Linked DNA regions of Arabidopsis thaliana. The protein of the gene in region 2 interacts with the protein of the main gene of each other region in a biochemical or structural test. Each region holds a gene or a part of one and is shown on either strand. Other genes may lie near its edges. The genes, in order: AT5G42190, EID1 and SKP1.

The links.
Region 1: the proteins of EID1 (region 2) and AT5G42190 form a complex in vitro, tested with the Arabidopsis thaliana proteins (one study listed by BioGRID).
Region 3: the proteins of EID1 (region 2) and SKP1 form a complex in vitro, tested with the Arabidopsis thaliana proteins (one study listed by BioGRID).

What each region holds. Positions count from the first base shown.
Region 1 is NC_003076.8:16,853,669-16,857,472, forward strand, and holds AT5G42190 (E3 ubiquitin ligase SCF complex subunit SKP1/ASK1 family protein), read right to left. Parts: upstream 2,074-3,804; 5' UTR 1,849-2,073; coding exon 1,507-1,848; intron 1,001-1,506; coding exon 827-1,000; 3' UTR 523-826; downstream 1-522. Other genes in the region: PER64 (Peroxidase superfamily protein), read left to right, coding at 1-353.
Region 2 is NC_003075.7:1,070,593-1,074,328, forward strand, and holds EID1 (F-box family protein), read left to right. Parts: upstream 1-1,888; 5' UTR 1,889-1,962; coding exon 1,963-2,973; 3' UTR 2,974-3,187; downstream 3,188-3,736. Other genes in the region: SR34b (RNA-binding (RRM/RBD/RNP motifs) family protein), read left to right, coding at 65-294, 693-774; AT4G02450 (HSP20-like chaperones superfamily protein), read right to left, coding at 3,395-3,507, 3,729-3,736. UniProt on the Arabidopsis thaliana protein: Component of SCF(ASK-cullin-F-box) E3 ubiquitin ligase complexes, which may mediate the ubiquitination and subsequent proteasomal degradation of target proteins.
Region 3 is NC_003070.9:28,514,758-28,518,550, reverse strand, and holds SKP1 (S phase kinase-associated protein 1), read right to left. Parts: upstream 2,033-3,793; 5' UTR 1,837-2,032; coding exon 1,528-1,836; intron 1,271-1,527; coding exon 1,097-1,270; 3' UTR 655-1,096; downstream 1-654. Other genes in the region: AT1G75960 (AMP-dependent synthetase and ligase family protein), read right to left, coding at 1-364; AT1G75945 (uncharacterized protein), read left to right, coding at 2,742-2,845, 3,057-3,138. UniProt on the Arabidopsis thaliana protein: Involved in ubiquitination and subsequent proteasomal degradation of target proteins. Together with CUL1, RBX1 and a F-box protein, it forms a SCF E3 ubiquitin ligase complex. The functional specificity of this complex depends on the type of F-box protein.

The DNA.
Region 1 (3,804 bases), on a different chromosome or scaffold from region 2:
GGCTCCATAAATTCAACACACAAAAGGAGGTTGACCCAACACTAAACCCCTCATTCGCAGCCAGGTTGGAGGGAGTGTGCCCGGCCCATAACACGGTGAAGAATGCTGGATCGAACATGGATGGAACCGTGACGTCATTCGACAATATCTACTACAAGATGCTTATCCAAGGCAAGTCACTATTCTCATCCGACGAATCGCTTCTTGCAGTACCCTCTACTAAGAAACTCGTGGCCAAATATGCAAATTCCAACGAAGAGTTCGAGAGGGCTTTTGTGAAATCGATGATCAAGATGAGTAGTATCAGTGGGAATGGCAATGAGGTCAGACTTAACTGCAGAAGGGTTCGCTAGAATCTCAATCTACGCTTCCAACATCACGTTACTACTACATTTTTATGTCTTTCGTTTTCTTTCGTCACATTGATTACTTGTGAATGGGCCTTTCTAAAGATTAAGGCAGAGGTTCTTGTATCAGAATTATCTATCAATCTCTCGTGTGTGCTTGTATAGGCATTTATTTACAAGTAATAAGATCTTTTCTCTTTCTAAGAACATGCAGACAAATCTTATCACTTGTGTTCACAACCTATCTAAATGATTGACGAAACAATAGAAGACCAACACTCTCTTTTGAGCAACAACTTCAATATGTTTCGTAGTTAAGTCTTTAATTTGACATACATAACATAACATTAACATCCGACCCACTGTCTTAGCTGGACCATCACGTAGAAGAGAATGGATATATAGTCAAAGAAAGAAGATAAGACAGGGAGACACAAATGGGTCGAGGACATGACAGCAACCTAGGTCTTCATTTTTCTTCATTCAAACGCCCACTGATTCTCACGGCGAACCTCTTCTTCTTCCTCTGGCGTGAAGTCGTTCTTGATATTGAACGTCTTACGGATTTCTTCTGGGGTTTTTCCTTTAATCATATCAGCCACTGTCTGGCAAGTCAAGTCCAACAGTCCCTTGATATTCAAGTAGTTAGCAGCCTAAAAGGTGTCACAGGGAAACCAACTTAGATTCAAGCTCTTCAACTTTCAGATAAAAATGGAACTTTATTGTTCAAGCAAATCAAACATATTGAACTACGATTCCAAAGAAAATAAACTTTATCACTCGTTTCAGACAGAACAAAACATGTCATGTTAGCATCCAAAAGGTTTCTCAGAAAAACAAATCTAGATTCAAGCAAATCCCAAAGAAATTAAACATTATCCAATGTTTAAGACAGAACATAAAAAACATGAGTTTGGATGTAAAGTGGTCTTCAGCTATAAACAAATCCAACAAACTCAAAAGAAATCTCTTGACACTTTTTTCTCTATCAGACCATATATTTCAATCAGACATGATCATAGTTTAAACTGTGAAATTGGCAATCTAAACAAAACCTGAACCCTAAAATTAGATCTCAAACAGAAATCAAGATCTCAAACCCTAGAAATGAAATCGCAAACTTTGAAAACCAAAGCAATTAAAAATAAGTTTGACAAACCAGGATAAGATCGAAGAGAGTGCCCTGATCAACTTTGATAAACTCAGAATCCCAAGTCTTGAGATCTTCATCACTAGAACCCGACGCGACGGTGGTGGTAGTAGTAGCAGCAGCAGCATCGGCCGTGGTTTCGGATTTCTCAGCAGCTTCGACATGTCTCTTACAGTACTCAATCACCTTCGAAAGGATCTTGCTTGTGACATTAGGGAGAGGGATACCATTATCGGTACAGTCATCTTCAATCATATGTTTGATGGTTTGTGACTCTAGCGCCACCGCTTCGTCAATTTCGAAGTTTTCGCCATCCGAACTCTTAAGAGTGATTTTTCTCACCGTCGACATTGGTTTTTGCTGAGTTTAGAGACGACGTGGAGGCTGAGGAAGAGAATCGTGGAACAGAGAGATGTGTGTATGGGTTAAATCAAAATGTTTTTAAAGCCCGGCTCACACATTGAACCAGTGAGATCTAACGATTCCCAATTGACTTTTTTTACCTATAAATTTTCATTTTAAAACATTTTCTCTGTTTTTTTCTTTCAAAGGAAAACACCTGAAAATTAATTCAACTCTTTTCATCAACTTTTGATTAATCAGTAGTTGAACAGATACTAAACTCCTCTATTTGTAGGATGGTGTGTATAATTTAATTGGATTCATGTGATTTGATTTCCGGTAATATTTTTCTTTGAACATCTTTGCAAATAAAGAGTTAAGAATCATAATCAATTGCGGCAGTTGTTTTGCTAATTAAGTTGTATTAAAATCATCCACATTCTAGAAACCAAGTCCACCGTTACGACAAAACTTATTTATTTTTTATTTTATTTTTCTTATTTTTTTTTAATTTTAAATTTCCATTAAAACAAACAACAAGTTATAAGACAAGTGTCCAAACATAAGCACACAGGCTCGAAAACATACACATCCAAAAGCTCAAATCCAAGGCGCGCAGGCCCGACAACAAGAGCAAAGCCCAAAACAACCAAAGAAGCTGAAACTTAAAAATAGCAGGCCCAAAAACCAAAAGAACGAAGAGGGAACGACCCAAGGACTCAAAAAACTCATAAGGAAACCTGAACCGCAGAGGAGGACCTAACTGAAGAGACGGAACCAAGTAGCAAGCAGAGAGGCACCCGGAGGAGGAGAGGGAGAGCAGAGAGGCACTATGACAAAATTTATCTCATGCCTTCCACTGTAAACGTTTTGTTCGTCCATTGGAACTCTACCAAAATTTCGTTACTACATTCCTAAGTTTTGATGTTACTGATTTTGGTAATCTAAAACAAGACAATACATAAGTAAGCAATGCATCTGGTACTGATTTAATCAATACTTCTTTGCCATCTTTAGATAAGAATTTTGTAAACCAACCATTTATTCTATTATGTAAATATTTTCTAAAAGAGTAAATTTTTTTTGTCTTAGATCCTCCTAAACTTTTCGATAATCTCAAGTAGTTGTTCATGTCCCCTATATTAGTGATTTCGAAGATTGCCATAAGTTTGTCCATCATCGAGTTGTCAACTCATGACCAAAAACCTCTTCATAGTTCTTTAGTATTCCAAATCCAATGACGCATTGTTTTTTTTGTCGTTTTACAAAAAAGAAGCTATCATCCACGAACATAAGTGAAATATTGAGGGATTCGCTTGTAAAAATTTCATCCCCGCTAAAATCTTATCTTATTAAATAAAGTGAGAAAAATCTAACTTGCGTTATCTAAATTTTCACCAAAGCATAATCGGCCATTATCCTAGTAAAAAATATGGGCCAATAAAAAATATATTTAGATTCACCCCTTTATTCACCTTTTTATTCCATTAAATTAGAATTTATACCTAATAAATAAATTAAATTTATTTTATTATAAAATCTAATTTGCCACAAGAACAAAATTTTATATAGTTTTGGGTTTATAAGAAAGGATTGAAGTTTAGATTTTACTATTAAATATCGATTTGAGTTATAAACAGTTTTAGATTTTATAACTAAACGAGATTGAACGTCTGTTTGGTTTTATAAATGGATTTAGATTTTATAATTAAACAATGTTAAATATCGGTTTGGGTTTAGAAAGAACGGTTAGAGATTTAGAGTTTGCAATTAAAAGAGTTTAAATATCGAATTGGGTGTACAAAGAAGAACTAGGGTTAGATTTTATAATTAAACGAGATTACATTTTGGTTTGAATTTTTTAAAAAGTGGTTAGAATTTAATTTTTTTTTACTTTTTATTTAGAATTTAGATTTTTTATTTATAATTAAATAAGTTTTTTTAACTTTTTATTAGGTAGTATAT
Region 2 (3,736 bases):
AGACAAGAATTCTGAGAGCTGCATTCGTTTTTATTGCACTTAACATTTCCCTATGTCATTACAGGTTAGAGAATATGATTCAAGGAGGGATTCGAGGAGCCCCAGCCGTGGAAGATCCTATTCTAAGAGCCGCAGCCGTGGACGGAGTCCCAGCCGTAGTCGTAGCCGCAGCAGAAGCAGGAGCAAGAGCAGAAGTCCAAAGGCTAAATCTTTGCGTAGATCGCCTGCAAAATCTACATCGAGATCTCCTCGCTCTCGCTCCCGCTCTAAGTCGAGGTCACTGTCTCCACGAGGGTATGCTTCATTTCTTCTATAATGTTTATGCTAAAATATCCAACATAAAACATAACATAGGCTCTATTTAGCTCTTCCCTTGAAGTTTGGTGACATCACATTAAAAGATGTCACTGGGATGACTCCGAGTTGTTGATTGAGAATGATGATTGCTTCTAGTTAAGGGTACACGATTTATTTCCTTTGAAAGTCTGGTCTTTTATAATTATAGTGTTGAGAATGGTTTTGTTTCTTAGATATGGATATACATACAATCAACTAAAATATGGGAAATAGTATCTGGATCATGGATGTCTTGGTTGGTTGTACACAACTGTTTCGTCTCAGAGGTATATGCTCTTTCTTAGATGGGCAAGTTCGTTTTCTGATAATATCCATTGCTGCTAGATGGGTAACAGTGGAGAGACATTGGATCGCATTGATATAGTGTCATCAAAATGGACCCATCGAGCTAGGACAGATATTTTCATTACCTGCTAATCGACAAGCGATCTGGATTCTCATGGAACCGATGCTGTTCTGGACACAGGGTTTGATAGAATTAGATTTGCTTTGATATTCTCCATCTCTACCATCTGTTTTAACGAAAAGCAGGCTTGTGTTGGTTTGATTTTCTGCTAGAAATAGTCTGAAGATATGTTTTTTTCTTTTTTGCTTCTTGTGATTGTGTTTTGATGTCTGACATGGAATGAGGCATCAAGGGTCTTGGTGAAACAGCTATTAAACACGGAAATATTGGATTTTTAAAACTGGATTTGTTTCTCGGACTTTTGCAGATCTCGTTCAAGGTCAAGATCTCCTCTACCCTCTCTAAGTCATCTATCTCTAATACACTTTTTACTCCGCTATACTATCAGCACAATATTTTCGGTTTTCAATCCATACTATCCAAAAGACATGATCTATGTCTAGCTAATTACATTCTCATCATCTGGATTGAATTGTGTGTGTTGCAGGTTCAGAAGGAAGCAAGTAAGAGCCCTAGCAAGCAGCTGAGCCCTATCCGTGGTAGGAGCAAGAGCAGAAGCAGGAGTCCATCTCGGTAATGCACACTCTTTTTAACTTGCTTGGAACATTCTCACTCTTTCTCTGAATCTCTTTCCAACTGTTTTACAGGTAAAGAAACATCTCATATCAGGTAAAAAGCTGGGTCTGTTGGAAGATTCTCATAAAGATGATCTCTCTTATGTATGAGAAGTTGAAAAACTAGTTGTGTATTTCATTCTTATTAGCTTGGGTTTGCACATGGGAATGATATATACTCAGTCATCATCAGTTTATGAGCTAAGCTCAGCTGATTTATATGACTTGCTAATATAGTTAGTGCTTAAAACGAACTATCAAAAATTACTGTCGAATACCAAACTTAATTCAAAAGCTCACAATTCGATATTAAAATTTTGAAAACGTTCACAATAAATGAACCTAAAAAGACATGTGCATTGAACTCATTTTGATACCCGGACCCTTTACATTTTAGTTCAGTCCGTACGATGTCATTTTCGAGAGCTGTTGCGCATTACTTACTTGCCTTTGTGTGGGTGTTAGTGAATCTGTGACCCACCTTAAGAACAGTTAAGACTATTCCCGGTTTACGCGTACCGGACCCATAACAGTATAAGTGAATTTGGATAAGAAAGGAGCCGCCTAGAGAGAAGAAGGCGATCCATGGCGGAATCTGTCTTCTCTTGTATACCAGAAGACGTAGTCTTCAACATCTTCTTCAAGCTCCAAGATGATCCAAGAAACTGGGCTCGTCTCGCTTGCGTCTGCACCAAATTCTCCTCAATTGTTCGAAACGTTTGTTGTAAAACTCAGTGCTACTCCGCTATCCCCACCGTCATCTCCGATCTCCTCCCTCTTCCTCCCTCCGCCGCCGCATCCGCTTCTTCATCCACCGCGGCGGATTCGTCTCTTACTCCTCCCGGTGGTTGGGCTTCTTTATACAAACTCGCTGTTTGTTGTCCTGGTCTCTTCCACGCTGGAATTCTCCTCGAAAACTCCGATTTCGGTTTAGAACGTGAGCTAGGTCCCGATCAAAACCTCGATCCGAAACCTACTACGACGGATCTAGCTCTTAACGACGAAGAAGTTTCGAAACCAGTTGGATCTGGTTTAGAAACGACTTCGTTTTGGTCTCTATATGATGATCTCTACACAGATACTATTCCCGCTCCTCCTCCCGAAGATTCAATCGACGATCAAGAAGAAGAAATCGAAACGAGTGAGATCAGACCTGGACGAGATCTTCCGGTAAGGAAACGAAGGAAGATTTGTCGATCTCTAGGATCTCATTTAGCTTCCGGTGGCTGGAACCTTAGCCGTGAACAAGGCAACAAGCTTCTCGCGAGTAGATTCCGAGGTGATTGTCTCTACATTTGCAATTGGCCTGGGTGTATTCACGTAGAAGAGAAACGAAATTACATGTTGTTTAGAGGAGTCTTCAAGGATTTCAAAAGGTCTAGAGTTTGGAGAACGATAAACGACGGTAATCGGAGTAAGACCTCGGGTTTGAAATGCGCGTTTTGTTTGTGCGATGAGACTTGGGATTTGCATTCATCGTTTTGTTTGAGAAGAGTGTTTGGGTTTCATGATGATGGTGAACCAGTTGTGAGAGCTTATGTTTGTGAGAATGGTCATGTCTCTGGTGCTTGGACTGCTTTACCTCTCTACACTTGATAGCTCACTAGAGAGGACAGGTCTTTCATTCTTCTTCCACGGTCTCAAGTCTCAATCTTGTTTGATGTATTTGTAGGAATAGTGTCATTGTGTTTCAAATTCTGGTTAATGTTTAAGTAATGGTTGAAGAAAATTGGCTCAACATATTGTGGTTGTTTTGTTTCAATGTTGACAACATATTAGACTTCGATTCAAATGCATAAACTCTTACGTCAAAGCCAAAAATTTCAAGTCCAAGAACATTTGGAAACAATATAACCCAAAACAAAAGGTAGAAGAAACTTAAACCAAGATCAAATCCATAGAAAGAAAACAGAGTACCAACAACATTCATATAAAAGAGGAAGTAATTCAGAGGGTTTCATAAACCTGAAAAGCTAATAATACCATATGGTTTTTCATCATCTCTAGAACAGAGTCTTCACTTGTCTTCCTTAACAGATGTTGTTTCTTCTGCCGCTGGTGCCTTCTCTGTCGCAAGACCTTCCTCCTTAACGGCATCATCCTTCTTGTCTCCTGATTTTGCTGTCTCTTCTGCAATTTACAGAAAATGTTTCATTACTTCAAAATTCTGCATTTTGTTGAGGAACAAAGAAACACAAAAATCTGCAAAATGTTTCCTAAGACAGAGTACTTGGCATATCATATGGAATATGAGATACTTCAATAACAAAGTCAATCAACTCTGGCGAAATGCTTTCATTTCAAGGAGGCTGTGACCAAACATAAACGAGAAAGATCTTCAAAAGTATTACCTTCATCA
Region 3 (3,793 bases), on a different chromosome or scaffold from region 2:
AAAAGAAGTCGACGAAGAGCAGCTTAGACTCGCAATGGCGGAGAAGAACAGAGACGGTTCGCGCGTCGAGGCGGGTATTGATGTTGTTAAGGATCGCGCCAGACATCGGAACGGAAAACTGGAGCTCGTACATTTCCGGAGTATTAGCAGATAGGACAGAGACAACGTCGGATCTTCCTATTCCAATGGAAGACAGAGCAGACGCGACGCAGAGGCAACGGTGATTCGTTTCTCGCCATGTGTACACGGTGGAATTGCCGTAAACGATGGAGGTACAGTCTCCATACACGGTGGCTGCTCTCTCAAGAAAGCCTAACAGTGTCAATGGTAACGAGTTAGCGGCACTTGGCTTCAAATCTTCCATTTTCTTTAGCTCTTTTCGAGTGACCACAATGTGAGTGTTACTGTATATAAAGAAGATATCTCTTTCAGTCTCATAGTAAAGATAAGATACACAATGACGAGACGAGAGACCACTTGACTAGCCAGACAAACAATTAAAGTAATTATATTGATGTACATGTGATCCACGTTCGGTTGAGTGGAAACTTTGTTTTCTTATATGCAAACAAAGCCCACATGTTATCGAATGTTGACGAATGGGTGATGCTGATTATGTTAGTATTTGAGAAGATGTTGACAAGATACAAATACGTGATGCAGATATTTATGTAAGTAGATGAGCAGGAGCAGGGCATAACTGGTGACCATTGGTTTCAATGAGTAGTCGTCATGATCCTTCACATTCTGCTTGCAGACTCTGCCAAATTCAGTTTCTTTTTATTTACACATGAACATTCCTAAAATGAATCGTGCAAATTAGCATTCTGTGGCGATTGGCAAGACAATTGAAAGAAGTTATTTTGTAAGACAAACCAACATCACTCTTGAAGATTATCTAAAAGCACAAATTATCCATCCCACAAAGAGTAAGAAACATTGGTTCTTGATAAGAAAGAAAGAAGAGGAAGAAGATAGTCATGATTCATGAAGAATATTAAAAAGCAAGTCATCAACAACACTTGAAAACGGCAATAAACATAAGGAAGAAGAAACTGGTTGCTTGCTGCTTTTGATTCTTCTCTCTGAAGATCAATCATTCAAAAGCCCATTGGTTCTCTCTGCGAACCTCTTCCTCTTCCTCTGGTGTGAAGTCGTTCTTAATGTTGAACGTTGTGCGGATCTCTTCTGGAGTCTTTCCTTTGATCATATCCGCAACTGTCTGACATGTTAGATCAAGCAAGTTCTTGATATTCAGGTAATTAGCAGCCTGCACAAGATCCCAAATTCATAACCATTAGATCAAAATCCGAATCCAAAAACACAGATATGATTATAATCCAAATCGATAGATTCAATTAATGATTGGTTCCATAAGAACCCTAACAATATCAATCTCAAGCAGATTCAATTTCTGAAACAAACACCTAAATTTCGAAACCCTAATTTTCCCAAATCGAAAACCCTAGAATCCCAAAATTCAAAATTCGATGGAAAAATCAAATCAGATCGAGAGAAGAAACATACCAGAATGAGTTCAAAGAGAGTAGCTTGATCGATCTTCATAAAATCAGCGTCCCAGGCCTTAAGATCGTCATCGGAGGTAGCAGCACCCTCGACGGCCTCGGCCTTAGAGGCAGCAGCCTCGACGTGCCTCTTGCAATACTCGATCACCTTGGCGAGGATCTTGCTCGTGACGTTAGGAAGAGGGACTCCGTTGTCGACGCAGTCGTCTTCAACCATATGCGCTATGGTTTGTGACTCGAGAGCCACCGCCTCCTCAACCTCGAAAGATTCACCATCGGAACTCTTCAACACAATCTTCTTCGCAGACATGGTTATGGAAACGAAGAGAGAAGAGAAAGATTTTAGATTTGGGAGATTTGTTCTTTGAAGAAAATTTTGGAGAAGCGATGAATGAAATAAAGAGATGCGTCTCTCTTTATATATAAAACAATCCCTAATTTTGATAAGTCGGTCGATTGTTAAAAAGTCGCAAGTTTAGGGAAATTAGGAAATTGTTTCAAATTTTGTTTTTCTAAAAGAAAAATAGAAATCAATCCTATTGATTTTAAATTTTGTTTTCAATAGTTGAAATTAATGAAATTAGGACTCTGTTCTATTTTTCTTTTGGAAATATTAACTTTGATCCGTTTAATTCGTTGTATTTATCTCATTATTAATAATATATGATTTTATATATATTTTTTTTCCATCCAGCTCCATAATTGTCAAAAAAAGTAAAAGAACCAAAAATCACCGTAGGATAAGTATTAGTCAATCAAATCAGCTTTGTCAGCTTTAAGATCATGTTTTTTGAACATTTATTTTTATTTTATATTAAGTTAATATTAATATGTCATAATAAATAATATATCTAACTAGTTTTTGGTCAAGAGTCATACAATATTTTAGGCCTGGGATAACGGTTCAACCCGAGAAAACCGAACCGAAAAAAACGAAAATTTTGGTTTTCGGCAGCAACCGAATTAAGGAGATCGAACCGATCGGCCAAATTAATTTAAGAATTCGGAAGTCGGTTCGGGTCGGTTCGGTAATCGGAACCAATCGGTTTCACCCATACCGAGAATCTGCAGCCATATATAAGGTTAATTGATGAGTCTTAACCTAATTAGGTTTCTTCTTCGTTTTTGGCTCTCTGCCTCTTGCGAAAACAACAAAGAAACTTTGATATTTTTCTTCGATTGAATTAGTAATCATCAACTCGTCTCTTCTCCTTCATGAATTCATCATCTTCCAAGCCTCTTTCATTCTCTCTAATCTCAGTTGGTCTTACAAAAAACCTTTGCTCAGAGATTCAACCCACAACCTCAACTTTCTTAGGGTAAACTCTTCTTATTTCTCTTTAATCATTTGTTTTGTTTGATTCTTTGCTCTCTAAGCTCTTCCTCTGTCTCTATAATTTCTGAAATTTTAGAGTTAGGCTTTACACTTCCAAATCTGAGATTATCCATTATTTTTATGGATCTTTTATGGTTTACACTTCCATCTCATGTTTTTTCTTACTTCATGGATAACAAACGGGCGTTTAACAGGTCTCGTAGGGCATTACGTCGTCGGAATGGTAGATCACTAGATTGGAGAGGCACTGCTCGACGTCGCAGTTTGGAGTTGTAGTCGTACATATTTTTTTTGTCAAAACTCAAAACCCTAATTTTGTAATGGACCTGACCCATAATTGTGTTGTGGATTTGTAATTGTAACTGTATATTTGTGTATTGGGCCTGTTGTTTGTTTTTTATTAGATTTCATTTTTGTAAGTCCATTTTTTTAATTTGTGGTTTATTTGGTTCAAATTAACCGAATTAGAAAAAAAATCGGTTTAATCCGGAATTTAATTTATACCCAATAACCGAACCGAAAAAACCGATGTCCGAACCGACCCGAACCGAATTTTTGTTCGGTTCAATTCGGCTAGAAATTAAAAAATCCAAAAACCCCGAAAAACTAAATAAACCGAACCGATTAAACCGATATATCCGAACTCCCAGGGCTACAATATTTATATAATGCTGTGGATTTTATTCTCTCTTTCATTTATTTCTTAATGGGTAATATATATTCTTAGATATAATATTCAACTTTGTTTTGTTTTCTTTTCTAGTTATAACTAATCATATACATCAAGATAAGGTGTATGATTTATATGCTTACTTATATGATTATATGGTAACTTTTTTGAAATGCATTCAGTTTTTTTAGTTATAACGTATTTTATTCTTTATTTACATGGTTTTTTGTAATTTAAAATGGACATGTGTCATACAAAAAA